2 linked regions of the Tamandua tetradactyla genome follow. The protein of the gene in region 2 purifies or fractionates together with the protein of the main gene of each other region. This does not show direct contact. Links are inferred from orthologs where the notes say so. Each region holds a gene or a part of one and is shown on either strand. Other genes may lie near its edges.

Region 1 (7,757 bases), on a different chromosome or scaffold from region 2:
CCCAGTTCTGTCATTTTCCCCTCCCATTCTCCAAAACCCAACCCCAAACATCTTAATTCACCACCCATAGTATTCTAGGAGGCACCTATGTCTGGCATATAAGTGGGTGTTCAATATTTACAAAGTAAGGGCCAATTTAAATTGGAATTTATCTTTCAATAAACATAATATATTCATTCATATATCATTCCTACATTTTGAAATGTAACATATTTAACTTTAAGAAAATTCAGGCAATTTTGAAGTCCATTAATCTCTAGTGGTGTGACCTTAGGCAAGTCGTTTAACTTTTTAAGCTTTAAATTTCCATCTGCAGAATAAGTTCCACAAAGGTACAGAGCCTGGCATGAAACTCAGTGCTCATGAGATGAATAAAGTTAGCCTGTGTTTGTTTCTTAATAAGTAATTACAATTGCAATAACTTTAAAAAGCAACAATAAGTAAGGTATGTTAAGCTACTACCAAATGCAAAATTCAGAATGCTTAGAATTGGTTATGAAAAACAAAGAAGGAATGACCTCTTTAGGAGGAAAAGAATAAAGGAGATGGAATAAAAAAAGAAAAATTAGTGTCACGATAAAGTATTAGAAACAAATGGAAATCTTCAACAATTTGTAGAATGCTGCCAAAAACATTTTAAAGCTCTTTAAACATCATATACACCATTTCATACCAGGTAACGCATTTAGTATTAATCCTTTTTTTAGTTTCATATGGAAGAAGTTTCTTCCATTATCAACAAAACCAGCATAGTAGGGGAACAGTAAGTAAATGCATGCATCTAAGTATGAACCATAATTTTCACTCTACCTAATACACTGTTTTGTTAGTTATTTTTAATATGAAATTAAACTGTTACCAACAACATGAATTTCATGTTAGTTTCTTTTAAAAACTGATCCTTGAGGCATGATTCTAGTTTTTTTTTAATAGTGTAAGCTCTGGCTGGGATGTTGCCCATGGTTTCAATTAATGTTAATAGGATCAGTATTAGCATTTTTCTCTGTTTAGCTAACCTTCTAAAATACTTCTTAAGTTTTCAGTCAATATTTTTTCTTTTTTTTTCTAATTAGAGAAGTTGTTGAAAAATCATGTATAAAATGCAGAGTTCCTATATCCACCCTATAATTAACAGCTTGCATTAGCATGCTTGCATGGACCATTAGCATTGTTACAAATGATGACAATAACATTTTTTTATAATTGTACTATTAATTATAGTCTATGGTTTACATTAGGGTTCAGTTTGTGCTGTACAGTCGGTATTTTTTTAAAAGTAAGAAACAAAGCTTTAAAAGTTCGAAATTACTAGAAATGTCCTTGAAATAAACAGATGGATATTAATCAGTAATGTTTCCTCATAATTCAAGGTTAATTAAGCAAAGTAATTTAATCGCTTATGTGCAATAATTAGAATACATTTACATTACTCAAATATTTGACTATAATAATATTCAAAACCAGAAGCCTTCTTTAAAGAGGAGCACGTGAGTGCTTTTGTACCTACCCATATATGAAGCCTTACTTTAAGTTCGAGGGCAGTGACTCAGCTTGAAAGAATATGCAACACCCCTCTCATTCCTTTAAGAAAAATTCTTTCATTCTGAATTAGGGAGAGAGATTCCTGAAAACACCTGAAATCATGCCTACTTAATTTTAAAGGCTGCAAAAATGTGAGTTACTTTTTACACTGCTACATTAAAAAAAAAAATCAGAGGGACAAAAGAAGCAGAGGCACTGAACTCTAGTTTTGCTCCACTTTCTCTGAGGGGTTGAACAGGTCAGGTTTACTAGTTTTGTGGAAATACACATGGAATCATTACTTCTCTGTTGTTCCATTTGTCTCATTCTGAGCAGAATCCCAGAAATGGTTTCTGTGTTTGCCATCCACGAAATCGTGCATGGTGAATGTCTCCCGCTTCGACTCTTTTCTGGGTAGTAATAATAATAAATGCCTCAGTTCCTCAGTTGCTAAGAGAATACTGTGGTTATTAATGTACGTTTCTTGGCAAATGGATACCTCTTGCTTTGACATATTAATCAAGGGAGATAAAAACACACATGCAGTGCTTCTTAAACTTTATGGCTCACATATTTATTTATACGTGATAACTATTGAACAAAATTTGCGCACAATTTGGGTTCCTTACGTGCCTTCCTAAGATTTTCATCCAAGCACATCTGCATGTGATCGAAATTTAGAGACATAAACGTTTACAGGAAAGAAAAGAGCATTTCCAAAATTTATTCTAAATGATTTAGAAATTCTATACACACCTACCACTATGTGATTTAAAGAAATCTTGTAACAAGTAAAACAGAAAAACCGACTATGTTTACAAGCTTTCAGGCCACAGTGACTATCACCTTTCAAGACGGTGTCAACAGTGTCTTCTACGTAACTAGGTAAAAGAATGGCTGAGTACAGTACGCGCGGTCACAGAGAAAAGGAAGCTGTAGTGCCTCGATTCCACAAAATGCTCCCAGCTACTGTTCACCTCTCAGTCTTGCATCTGTTCTACTCTCTTCTCTAATCTTTGCTATAGGATGGATTCCTGGAGCTCACCACCACTCCTTCCTTTGCTCTGAAGCGTTTTAGAGCAAGGAAATTAATCACTTCACTTTGGGGGTGGGGGGGGGGAGAGACTGGAAACTGCTGCCTCCCTTAAAATGCACAATGGGAAAGGAGTAAAGTAACAAGCATCTGTGAAGACCATATATAGGCACAGAGAAGGTTCTAGAAATTCTGCGGACCCGAGGTTTCAGTCTGTAATCTCCAACAGTGTCACTGTAAGTTTTATCTTTTCTGATTTTTCTCCACTCCCAAACGAACAGGTCTGTGAATGACAATGTGACCACAGAGGTTTATCTTAAATCGATTCAGTTTTCTCTCAGAGAAGGAGAAGAAAATTCACAGAAACAAGTCTCAAGCAAGCACTTCTCTCGCAGCGCCTCAGCTGGCCTGCCCCGAAGCTGCGCGCAGGCTCGGACCCGCCGCTCGGCCTCCGCCCGCGAACCGCCTGCGCGGCCCCCAGGGCGCCCCCCGCCCGCGCGGCCCCACGCGCCGCCCTCACCTGAGCTCCAGCTGGTCCAGGCTCTCCAGCAGGCGGCTAGAGCGGTCGGCCATGGAGGAGGAGCGGCAGAAGCGCCCCTCGTTGGCTTTCGCGTTGATCTTCGCCTGAGCCATCTGAGACTCCGAAAGGGGCAGCCAAGAGGTCACCGGCCCTGGCAGCGGCGAGTCGAGTGTTCCCGCGGCCGCAAGCGTTGCCGTCACCGCGCGGGGCGCCCGCCTCCCTCTGACGCCCGCGGGGGGCGGCCCGGGAGGCTGTGCCGACACTGCCGCTGCCACCGCCGCGTGGCCGAGAGCAGGCGCCCCTCGGGGCTAGGGTCGGACGGGCCCGGGGCCTGGGTGGGGGCTGCGGCGGCTGGGGGCGGGGAGGACTTGCTAGCCACTGGGGCCTGAGGAGCAAAACCAAGCAGCTTCAGAAACACCTGAAGTGACGGACAGAGAAAGCGGGAAGGACCTAATGTGATCTGCTGGTTCTTCTCCCGGAACCCTGAAACAACCCGAAACCAGTGTGGAGACCACAAAACACCACCCCTCGGCCCCAGTAGTAAGCCCCGATTCTCCTTGCAGCCTGAAAGTACCCCTCTTCCGCCCCCGCAGCGTTCCTGGAAGCAGGCTGTGAATGTAGTGCTCAATGATGGCTTCATTTAGTTTCTCCCGGCAAGAACAAAAGTCCTCGGACATGAGCAGAAGGCACTGAGATACAACTCTGTCCTGTCACACCTCCGATTAGAATAAGCCTAAATACCAACAGTGAAGCTATAGAGAAAAAAAGAAAAGGCTACCACGCTTTTTTTCTGTCTAGCGGGATGTGGGACGTGTTAAAAGAAATAACAAAGTACAGTTACCATGGCTAAGAAATTTAAAATGGAGTCAGGAGCTCATTACGGAGCGTTACTCTTTTACAGGGCTCTGCCAGAGATCACGAACTGCCAAAGTATGCTAAACTTCAAGCAACTATGTTCTTCAAAATCCTAAGGACATCCAGACACATAAACCGAAAGATAAAGAACTCAGTAAACTATTAACCTGAAGGACATGTGGAGTATCCCAAATGTCCAACTACAAACAACTTATCTAATCTTTTCCTTTAAAAACCCTTGTCTGGAAATGCCAAGAGGGACACGATTTGGGTTGCTACCTAAATATATGCTCCCTGAATTGCAATTCTAATACCCCAAATAAACGCTTCTGTTGTCTCGCAACTTAATTTATTTCTTGGTTGACAGAAGCAAAGTGAATTTATACTTCATTTCTACCCATTCAATGAAGGGGTATTTAATGACTTTTTTTTCTCTTTATTCAAAAAAATTATTCCTTTGGGAATCTGAGTGAAATAATCGGTATTAACTAAAAAAGCCATTTCACATCCAAATATTTTAACTTAACAATAATGACAAGATTGGTAGGCTACTAGGTCAGACACCATAAAGATCAGGAAAAGATGGATAGGGTTAGGAATGCAAAGACATGTCTACTTAAAGGGAAAAAAATGTTTTGTTCCCATCTCAGTTTCATAAGCAAGGAATAAACATGTAGGAGGCACAGAAAATGAGTTTAAAGCTGAATTACAGACTTTAGAGGTCAAAGCCATTTAAACACATGAACAGAGCTGAGACCCTTAGGTCTGGATTCTAATTCTAATTTATTCTATATATTAATAAACTTCTGGTGTAGTGTATGATTTGATCTCAGTAATTTGGAATCCAAAGACATTTTTTTAAGGTTTGAAAGTCTATCAAGTAACTTATAATCGTTCTGGACTCTTTTTTTTCATATCCTAGATCCAATCCATTAGTAAAGTCCATCAGCTGTATCTTCGGAATACACCCAGATTCTTCTCCCCAACTTCACTGCCACTAATGTAGTCCAAGCATCATCAATTCTCACTTGGGTTACTGCAAAACCCTCCTATGTGATCTACCTGCTTCTACTCTTGCCTCACCTGTCTATCCTTAATACAGTAACTACAGTAATACTTTTAAATAAGGCTGATCACACTTATTCTCAAAAACCTTCTATTGCTCATCTCAGAGTACAAGTCCTTAGAAAGACCTCGACCCTAAATGTGCAGCTCCCTTTATTTCTCTGACCTCATCTCTTATTACTCTCCTAGCTTACCCTGCTTCAGCCACACTAGCTTTCTTGCTATCCTATGAATATGCCAAAGTCATGTCTAGGCCTTTTCACTTAGTTCCTTCTACCTGGAACACTCTTCCTTATGTATATTTGCATGATTCGGTCCTCACTTTGTTCAGGACTTTGCTCACATTTCCCTATCTGTGAGCTCATTTCTGATCATCCTATTAAAAATAGCAAGCCTCCTACACACCAACCCCTATACTACCCACCATCCTTTCTTTCCCTTCTTTATTTTCCTTCATTACATGTATCACCATCAGATATACTTTTTTAATTGCTTATTATCTATGACTCTATCAAACCTCCTCTCCCCAATGTGCACTCCACAGAGGGGGCTCTGTTTTGCTCACTGGTATATCCCAAGTGCTTAGAATAGTTCCTGACACATAAATAATAAATAAATAAATAAATAAATACTTCATGAATGATGAAATGAAAAAAAAGCATTTTTGATAATAACCCATAAAACTTTCTGTAAGGTAATCCATTGATTATACCTTCTTCTTGGGTCTAAGTTAATTGCAAATTATGATGTAATTTTTAAATGATTTTTAATTGCTTAACAAGTAGAAATACAATTGGTGACAATTATTGATTAAAACTTGAAACACCACAATTACATTTTCTTTAGGATCATGATGAATATCCCCTTCTTGTCATATCAAAAGCTTGTTATTCTCTGCCATACACACCACAAAGCTTCTGAATAATCAGTGTACATCACACCCATGTGTGGAACCACTGGAAAAGAGGTGCTGCCTCCTATTGCTCCACATCTGCTTTAACCACTCTTCTTCCTGTAATGTCCCTTCTGTTCCTCACTATTTAGCAAGCTCCTGAAGATATCTTGATGATACAACCCATTGACTACCTCTAAAGACTTGGTTGACAACTTTAACTTACAAATTAAAAGCATGATGTGGTCATTTTGGAAAGATGATTGGTAAATTCTCATCCTATATGTCTTAAAAATACAAGCAGGGAAGAACAAAATTGACATCTTAAAAAACACTGGTTTCCAGTGTGGACTGAAAAGACAAGAGCAATTAAAGCATCAGTAATCCCATTTCACAATAAAATATCCAGTGTCGCAGAGAAAGAACAAAATGCTAGCTGTGGCATTTTTTCATCTTAAGAAAGCTTTAGATTTATAGAAATATTTTAAAATTTGGTGAGAAATTACTACTCAAAACTTTTAGGGGTAGGACATTTCTGGTCAAAAAACACGAAACATATACACAAATAGAGGTATGGCAAGCTCTTCATAGTCTTCTACTTATGTAATGTGTTCTACTATTTATAATGGGGCTTCAACATTGAAAACTTAAATATATAATATCAAATGTAGGAAACTGAGATTAATCCAATGAATAATTCAAATGAAAATACTTCCATATGTAATAAAAAATTTAAAGGGTAAGGAATATTCCTGAGTAGACTTCATTATTTTTGAAGAATAAAAAGTTTACACAGCTATGTAAAAAGAAAAAGGACTAAGATTATTAAAAATAAATTTAATTTTATGCAAATATTTTAGCATTCCTTTTAAACAACAGATCATAGAAGTCATATAAAAGTTTAAGCAGGTAAAAGGAATGGAAAAGGCTGCCTTTTAATTATCGCAAAAAAAAATTAGTTACGTTTTTTCATCCCAGCAATGTGTTATATCTAATTAAAGCAGAAATATACACTTCAGTAAAACTCACAAAAAACACTGCTGGTAAAAATTTTAATCTGTTTCCATGATCAGTTTTCATTACTCTTTTCTAATAACCACAAAGATATGAAAGATATATCACATGAGAAGTAGAATTTACAGGAAATCTGAGCTATAGCAACTTATTTATATTCATTTTCACTCCTAAAAAAATAAAACTAGAATCATCTGTACAGTACAAAAAAAATTAAAGACTAATGATATTTGGGAAACATACAGACCATAACCAAGAGCTTTCCTTTCTTTTTTTTAAGAATCCTTTTAATCTAAATATAGGCATTCAAAATTAACTGGGAAACTGTAATTTTTATATTAGATTACATGATTTTTATCTGTTAGCACAGTATTCTGTGCTTTCTGTATATCTGTGTACAACTACACACAAACAGAAAGAAAATATCAGATTTTGAACATGTGAATGCAAAAGCATGTTCTCAAATACACTTGTGCTAGTAGATTTCTTGTCTCTTTTAGAAAACAAACTCAAGAATTCATTATCCTGAGAGTATCTTCAAGGCCACTTGATGTTGTGTGGTAATATCTTTAATTACATTTCCTCAAGACTTCTTCTAATAGCTTCTTCTAATTCCACATCTGCATTAAAAAACATACAGAATTTTAAGCTTAGGACATAAAACTAATCAACATGTGCTTTACATGTAAGTCTCATCAACCACTTTCATATTTTCAGGAAAGAAAGGTAAACCAAAAGGGAAAAATTTAGGATAACTTGGCAGTTTCTCCATCATAATGCTTGAAAATTTTGAAATATGAGAATCTGGATATAATTTCAAACTAAACTTTAGTACATATGAACTTAATGTACTAAAG
Region 2 (8,532 bases):
CTTTTTTTTTTATTTAGGAATTTATCTTGATAATAAGATAAAATGATTTCTAAAAATATATGTGTAGCTAGAACTGAATAATCTATAATACACTAAAGTTCTTGTTGTTATGTTTGACTAATCAGGAACTAAACTGACATTTTTAGTACAAACTCTGGGCAATTTGTTTTGAAGGCAGGAACCTAAAGTAAAGCACATATATATGTAAGATTCTTCAAAGGTCATGACATCTTGGATATTCTTTGAGATTTTTGATTTACATATATTCCTTTGAGGCTTTGAAGGCAGAATATTCATTTGAGAAACATATATGTATGTGAAATATCCCATTTCTCATATAATATAATGCCCTGTGCTTTCATGATACCTTTTATCTGAGGAGCTCAAAGAACTAATTATTTCCAACGCCTATATAGGTTACGTTAAGTATCATTATTTCTAATTTACAGATGGGGAAACTGAGGCTTGTTAGCTCGGTTAAAATCATAGCAACATCAACATTAAAGTTTTACTGGTCATTTAGGATGCATGGCACAAAAATAAATTCATGCACCACATCAACGTGGTAATTACTTAAAAACACCTATTTTTATTCTCTGGCCTCTGAACAAAAACTGTTCTTTTTCCACTCACCTGAAGAAGAAAAATATTCTATGAGCAATGTAAGTATTTGAAGTGTTAATGAAATTTTTCTCTACTCCTTTTTTCTTTTGAGAAGTCTAAACAATCTTCTCTAGTGCTTCACCTTTTAAAATTTAACTATGTATTTTAATCCCTAACACTCCCCACAATTGTTCTTCCAAATTCATCCATTTTCTCAAGGCCTCCCATATTGAGAAAATCTTGGCCATTAGAATTTCCACATCTTATCTGTTCTCTATCTTTTCTTTTTTCCTGTTTTTTTTAAAATTTTTTATTAATTAAAAAAATTACAAGAAACAAACATTCCCAACACATACAATCAGCAATTCACAATATCATCACATAGTTGCATATTCATCATCATGATCATTTCTCAGAACATTAGCATCAATTCAGAAAAAGAAATAAAAAGACAACAGAAAAATATAACAAACAGAAAAAAAAAAATTTACAGGCCATACCCCTTACTGATCCCTTTCATTTTCCTGTTTTGAAAGAAGAAGTGTAAATCCTCTTTTTCAAAGTTAGTTCCTCTATCCCTGTACCTGGTTCCATATCTTCATGCCTACTCTGGGACTTAACTCCTTTAACTATTGCTTGCTCTCCAGCATCTTCAATTCCATCTCTTCCACTGGGTCCTTTGATCAGAAATATGCACAAATATCTTAATGATAAAAACACATAGACAAAAAAACAGAAACAACAAAATAAAACCGCATAAACCAAACCAAACCAACCTAAACTCTAAGCTCCTGGAGAGAAAGAGTCATGTTTCTTTGATTTATGCCTAAAGTCCAGCAAAATGCTGGAATATAGTAGGTATTCAATAAATGAATAAATGAAAACATATTTCTCTTGCTTGTCCCACAATTTCATTTCAACTTCGTACCACCTCACATACTACATAGGCCTCTTGGATGGACTTTTGTCACTCATAGTACTTTTATAAAAATTATTCTTAATGGTTTGAAAAATAATAAAATAAAAAGTTCAAACACAAGAATCACAAGGAAAGGAAGAACTATCTGAAATCTCACTATCTAGTATAAGCATTTTCAGCAATTTGCTGAATATTCTTCCCAGTTTAATGCATGTGTATGCATATATATATATGCATAAATGAACACAATTTTGCAAAAATGGGATACTATACAAGCTCTGTTTCAGTAATGTATTTTAGATATGTTTTATGTCAATAAATATAACCACATTTTTTTAAAGGGCTGAGTGGTATTTTGCGGTAAGGTGGTACTGATTATTTGCAAAGTTGTAATCAACTTTGCAAATAAAAAAGACACCTTGTGTCTTTTTTCAAAAGCACATTTCAGTTTAAAAATCACCAAGCTGCAATTCAGAATGCTTACCCGGGGTCCCGAGACTGATGGATCCCCTCATATTGCCTATTTTTCTGGGGAGAGTCTATAATTTTTATCAGTTTTTCGGAGGCCTGGAACATAGAATGATTATTATTTAGAGTATTACTATGTTCCAGGAACTAAGTTAAGCACATACAATTAATCTTCACATCAAGCCAATTATCCCCATTTTACAGATTAGGAAACAAAGCCATGGAGAATGACTGGTCTCTACTTTTCTACACATTTTGCAAATCACAGATTTGTCATTGTTTGACTTCGATCATCTCATACCCTTGCTTCAACCTCTTCTATGTTTTCCCATCGTCTAGATGGTTCTCAGTTTTTATAACTTTCAATCTCTGTCTTTCACTATTCCTGTTTAGATGCTTTGCTTCAAAGCAGCTTGCTCACTTTGCACCTTGTTTCCTTAAGGTCACCAATTTCTTTTCACCCCATTTTAAATCCTTCCTCTCATAGGACTGCCCTACCTCAGAGTGATCATCTCCCTCTAAACTTAGTTTCCCACTAGCACCACCATTTGGCTTAGTGTTAATGTGAGAATAAAACCTTGACGCTGTAAGATCTTCTCCTTTGTTTTGCAAAGAGCTATTTAAATATTGCCATGTTATTTAATTTTGAAGGTGTTTACACCTGTTCTCTTCATCTACCATGTGAATTCCAGATTCCATTAGAGATGAGGCCTTGTTTTATACCAGTTGTTTTTTCTCATAATACAGTTCACTGCGTTAACAAGTGTTTTAATAAATTTTTGATTTTTTGGGGGGGGGGAGGGAGGATGTTATTTGTGGTTAGCCTGCACTTACTATTTAAAATTCACGTCTCTGTGCTGTCTGCATTTTAAGATTATCTCACACTTGCTGTAAGGAATTTATTTAAATGTGAAGTGTCAGATGATAATACTGTCAACACTTGAAGAAAAATAAAAGTTCATCAACTTGCTGTGGCAGACATGTTTACATGTGACAGTGCCAAACTGTTCATATATCTGAATGAAATTCCAGTTTCTGCTAAGATTATCTTAGGCTTTATCATGAGATGTCCAAACTAAATCAAATGTATTACTCATTTCTTTTGATTGGGAATCATAACCTACTAAAAAAACAGAGAATTGACTTTGATAAAAATATAAATATATTTTGATGATCATTTGCTAAAAACTACATATCAGGTAATACAATAAAGGCTTAGCAAAAACAAAAAATGAACAAAGAATATAAAGCAATCTTTTGTGAAATAGAAAAAGTAGAACCATGCCTACTTAACAGTTAAGTGTTCCAGATTCCTAAAACGGGTCATTAAGCAGCTATTATCAATGGAAAGTATAAAAAAAAAGTGCCTTTCCTCCAAGTATTTAAAGAACATAGGTGAAGGAGAATTCAGCATGTTGTTCAGTGTGTCTGAAAAACTGGCCACTGGAAATCAACACTAGCATATCTGTAGCACTTTAAGTTTGTGAAGTACATGGCAAAGAGCTTTTTTTATTTTCAAAGGAAACAATTAAGTGGACTAGGACAAAGACACCGAGGTATGAGACAAAGGTTTGGCTTGATATTATAGAGTAAAAACAGAAATCTGGACTAGGATTCATGGATTTAACTGCTCGTGGGCCTCACTGAACCTTGGATTTGTGGAGACTTTTTTCAGTACTTGAGACCACAGCATTTTTTATTCTTACAGGAATACTAATCAATAACTAATCATTAACTTCAAACTTCTTGTGTTGGGTTTTACCCTTAGAATCAGATTCCTTGCTGATGCAGGAAAGGCTTAGTCATGGCGGGACAGCCATAAATGCTCAGCTATCAAAACACACCAAATTGTCTGTAAACTTCAAAAAAATTTAAAAACTGCCCCTTATTATTTTGGGCCACAGCTTGCTTTCATTTCTTTCAGCCGCTTACTCCTTCGAGAAGCTTATAGGTTTTACTGCTTGCAAATCAATGAGTTAGGTTTCAAAGGGAATTTTAAGAAGTAATTAAGGTGATTCTCAGGAAGGTGACCGCAGCTTGACCCAGAAGGTCTGTGCCTAGTTATTCAACTTCTAACCGTGGCCATGGCCTGATTTTTTGTGTCCTTGACATGACAACACTAGGTTCTAGGTTTTTGCCTATATAACTTATTTCTGCTTTAGAGAAGAGTAACAGGGAAGGAGGCTGGTTAATAGTATTTGCACAATTTAAAATGAAGATTATCGGTAAAGACGGAAAAGTAAAATAACTATATCTTCACTGTTTTCAGGATACGGGCTCCTTATTTACTGCTAGACGGTTCCACTCTCACGTAGGTGCCGCATGACCTTTTAACAATACAGACTCTCAGGTGTCACGTCCAGGAATCTGATTCAGTAGCTCTGGGGGTGAAACCTCCCTGAACATGCATTTTTAAAAAGCACCCAGGAGGTTCAGACGCTGGAGCTGCATGCCCACGAGGGAAAAACCAGCGAGAAAGATCCCTTGTTTCTTCTATTCTAACCAAGACACCTTTCAACTTGGGGCTGGGTACTGTCATCAAGTTTCCTCTGGCCTTGCTTAGCTCACGATTTCAGTTTCGGCTCTAAAGGCACTCAGTGCTGGGACCTCAAATAGTTTTTCTTTTCCCTTCTTCCCCAATTACATATTCATTGCTCTTATTAAATTATAATCTCTTTGTGGGAGACTGTCCCTGGTGGTAACCCCATCCGAGTAATGAGCTCAGTGGCTCTCCCAACAATCGGTCAATGAATAAAGCACAGGGTACTTCAGCACAGCTGCCGGGTTCTCTCAATCAGACGCGGGTGAGGGCGACTGGTTTCCCGCACCCCACACCGTCACCTTGCAGAAGTGCGCCAACTTCCAATGTCCGTCTCCGCTTGCCCGCCGCCCTTAACCGTCACTGATTCCTCCGTGAAGTTAGAAGTGGGGAGAGGCCGTCCCAATTGGGGCGGTGCGTCCTCCTGAGCTTCTCAGAGAGGCCTTTCAGTGGCCCACCAGACTGAGGACACGAACCATGTACTCAAATCCGCTGTGGCGTTCCTCCAAGTCCACCGCATTGCAAAGCGTGAGACCCCCCCAGCACGACTCCCAAACCGGCAGATGGCGCTCGCTGGGGAAAGCACGAAGAATTTTCGGGAAGGCACCGGGAGGGGGGACAGGGAACGAGGCAGAAGAGGTTTTTAACCTCGTGGCAGCAACCGCAGCTGCGGCTGCCTCCGCACATTAATGGTCGGGCGGAAGTCGAGCGTCGCCGCGCTGCCCGACGCCTGACGTACTTCCTGTTTGTTGTTGGAGAAAGGGAGAGAAAGAAAAGCGCGAGGAATCGCTGCCACCGCCTCCAGCAGTACCAGCCGTGACGGAGCTGAGGGGAGACCACGGGCCTCGCCGCCCAGCTTCTCTTCCTTCCTGCCGCTGGCTGCCAACCTCCTCTGGTAAGGGAACGACCTCCCAGGCTGCGGGGGAGGTTTGGGGACGAGGGCACTGCCTCTGAGCCCCGGCTAGTGGCTGACTTGACCCGGCGCCTTAGCAACAGCATGTGTGTGGTGGATGACCCAGGTGTCGCGGCGCTGGCTGGCCTTTGGGAGTAGGGTGGGTTGAGGGAAAGGAATAAAGGCCTGACGATTCGTACTCGTTTCGAAGCAGTGAGCTGGGATGACCGCCCCGGAGTCGAGTCGGCGCCGCTTCTCCCTTCTCGGCCGGCGCTGCGGGCCTCTGGTGTCCTTGCTCCATACAGGGCTCCCTTCCTCCTCGGGGTTGGCGGTTGGGGGTGGGGCCCGTGCGAGGGACACCCGGGCGACGGCGGCGAGGGCCTGGGCTCCTGTTTCAGGCTTTTCTCTCTTATCCCTGTTGTGCGGAAACGTTGTCTCTCTCGACTTCTCTTTCTTTTCTCTTTTTTATCAATGGAAAGGGGTTGAAGGGCGAGGAGCTTTTTAATTTCCTTTTAAGCTCTTTTGTAGTTGACTCTGAAGCCAAAATCAGCCAATCTTTATCGGTTCGGAAAAGAGCAGAATTCATATGGTAGATAGTGCTGCCAAGTATGGAGCACAGGAAGCGGGTGGTGGGGATGCGAAAGCCCCCTTTATAGAACTACCGACTGATTTTTCCGTTTCTTGGTCAGCAAACGGCCTTTCAACTCACAGAAGAGGTTTATTTGCTTTGTTTCACTTAAAAACAAACAACAAACCCGTACTGTAGTTTTTATAAGGATAGCAGCTTTTGCCCAAGTAAGGAAAGAAGTTTCGTTGACACAAGAAGTGGTAATTGCAAACTTTTTATTATCTCGAAAAAGGTTTTTGGAGTAGTGTCTTTTTTTGTTGTTTTAAAAGATAATTTGATAGTAAACTTCATTACGCAGTTATATGGGGTTCTCATATAAACTAGAGGAAAGGAAATAGTGTAGAAGACTACTCTTGTCACCAAGAGGGACTAACGATAGAACTGAAGATTCCGGTATGTATGGAAAGAGCAGGCTAGCAACTGTTTGTATTTTCAGCATTTTATTTGAATTGTGAATTTGTAGTAAACTTCTATGGGTAGGATCTTTGAGGACAACTGATTGATTAGAGAAGTTAGACTAATCGGCACATACAAAAGAAGTTGAAAAACCTTGACTATTTGAATTTTGCTTGCTCTGTTCGCATGTAATCACAACTTTCTAAGGTACAAATCGGAAATGATAATGGCTTCTGAAAGGAATTAATTTGTTAATTGGCTCTGCATCTACTGCTCTACTACACTTCATTCTCTCTGGAAAGTTTAATCCATACTTTTTTCTTGTTTCTGCTATTGAGAATCTTCATCTCCTGTGGGGTCAGGAACTGTCTTTTATTTTAGGGGTCTGTAATAAGAAAATGAGTGTTCTTTAGACATACACTTCCTTTAATCCAGTCTAGAATTGTTTGGATTATGCAGAGTATGAAATTTGGGGAGTAAATTGACTTGATGTAGTAGCTTGTAGGTGTGGATGACTTGACAGGAAGTGGGAGGAGAACAAAAGGGATTGAGAAGGTGGTTTTTAAAAAAAGTCCTAGCTGGGCTTAGTGTGTTCCTGTAGGCAATGAGAAAGTTGGAAATTTAAGAGTATTGAGAGCATTTAAAGAATTTGAGATGACTTCAGCCCCTCTTCAAAACATCCATGTTTTAAAGTTTATTTTCTTTTGGATTTCAAAGTGTATGATTTGTGGGGTATTTCTAGTTTCTGGACAGAGACTGAACCTGGAGGGTTCGGGTGGGAAATATTGTTTGAGTAATAAAGTGAAGGCTAAATCATGGATATGAAATTACAGTATGATACTTGCAACTAGGTGGAATACAATAGCTTTCCTTTTTAAGTACACCCATTTTTTTTTAAGTGTTTAGAGCCAAAAGTGGATCCATTCTCCCATGCATTAACTTTATTTTGCACTGTTTCAAACAAATGTGATCGTACCCATCACTCCATTGACAGTTTAGTGGGTGGGATGATAAGCATTTTTTAAAGTTACCACATTCTCATAAAAGAGCACTTCAAAATACAGTAGGTCGTCGTCGTCGTTGTTGTTTAACTTGAACCTCACACATAGAGCAGAGCCATTTATTTGGTTTTCTGTAGAGCTCTGACTTAATTGAGATTTAAAAATTTTTTTTTATTGTATAGTATGACATATATACAAAGCAAAGAAAGAAAGGTAAATTGTTTTTAAATCCAACTTTTCAAGTTTGCATCTATATTTCAACATAAGGAATGCCATGTAAAGTATGATTGATATGATAGTACATATTCAACACCTTATTCTATTTTAAAGTTTTTAAATTCATCCAGGACACCCATCTAGTGGTGAAAGGCAGGTAATTGCAGGCTATTAGTGAATTAAGATAGGATTAGAGTGACAAGATAATAACAAATACTGTAGTTCTTCCTATGTCGGTAAATAGACCTTGAGAGCATTTCAGACTAAAAAAATTAAGGCTAATGGTGGTTATATGTGTTTTGTAAACTTATTTAGGGGGTGCTCATAAAATCACAGTTGAACCTTTTCGTGTGAATATCCTGCATGAGAGTGAAGTAAATTTTAAAAAGCCTTTTCTAAAGTCTGGGAAAATTAATCTCTAGAAAAATAATAAAAGTATACAAATTCCTAAAGGAATGCAATATCAAAGGAAAGAAGGCTCTGTGTTATTTATATTTCACATCTATTTCAAAAAGGATTTGGTCATAGCTTGGTTTTCTCATAAAATTTTTACTATGTCTATGTAAAATTCATAAGCAACCATAAGCTTAAATGTTTGTCTATCAAAAGACTCCTAGTAAGGAGTGGTATTTTAGGATTCTTAAGTTCAGTGACGAAGATAAATTTGTTGAAGGGTGATTTCCATACAGGGAATGTGATCTTACCCCCTTTAAAATTCTCTTACTGCCTTTTACCCCCCCCCCCCGCCCCAAAGCACTTATACCTTGTTTAATATTTTGTTGTGTGTATGTGTGTGCACATGCATGCATGCTTAAGTTCTTAATGCCCTTCTACCACCTTCAGATGGCATAATCCTCCAGGGTAGACCTT

What was found. The genes of interacting proteins can lie anywhere in the genome.
Region 1: the proteins of DNAJB6 (region 2) and BAG2 purify together in Homo sapiens (affinity purification with mass spectrometry; 4 studies listed by BioGRID and IntAct, with this or other methods). This does not show direct contact. The link is inferred for Tamandua tetradactyla from reciprocal best matches to the Homo sapiens genes DNAJB6 and BAG2.

Annotation. Positions count from the first base shown.
Region 1 is NC_135331.1:116,192,750-116,200,506, reverse strand, and holds the start of BAG2 (BAG family molecular chaperone regulator 2), read right to left. Parts: upstream 3,275-7,757; 5' UTR 3,188-3,274; coding exon 3,075-3,187; intron 1-3,074. UniProt on the Homo sapiens protein: Co-chaperone for HSP70 and HSC70 chaperone proteins. Acts as a nucleotide-exchange factor (NEF) promoting the release of ADP from the HSP70 and HSC70 proteins thereby triggering client/substrate protein release.
Region 2 is NC_135327.1:203,494,903-203,503,434, forward strand, and holds the start of DNAJB6 (dnaJ homolog subfamily B member 6), read left to right. Parts: upstream 1-5,162; 5' UTR 5,163-5,424; intron 5,425-8,532. UniProt on the Homo sapiens protein: Has a stimulatory effect on the ATPase activity of HSP70 in a dose-dependent and time-dependent manner and hence acts as a co-chaperone of HSP70. Plays an indispensable role in the organization of KRT8/KRT18 filaments.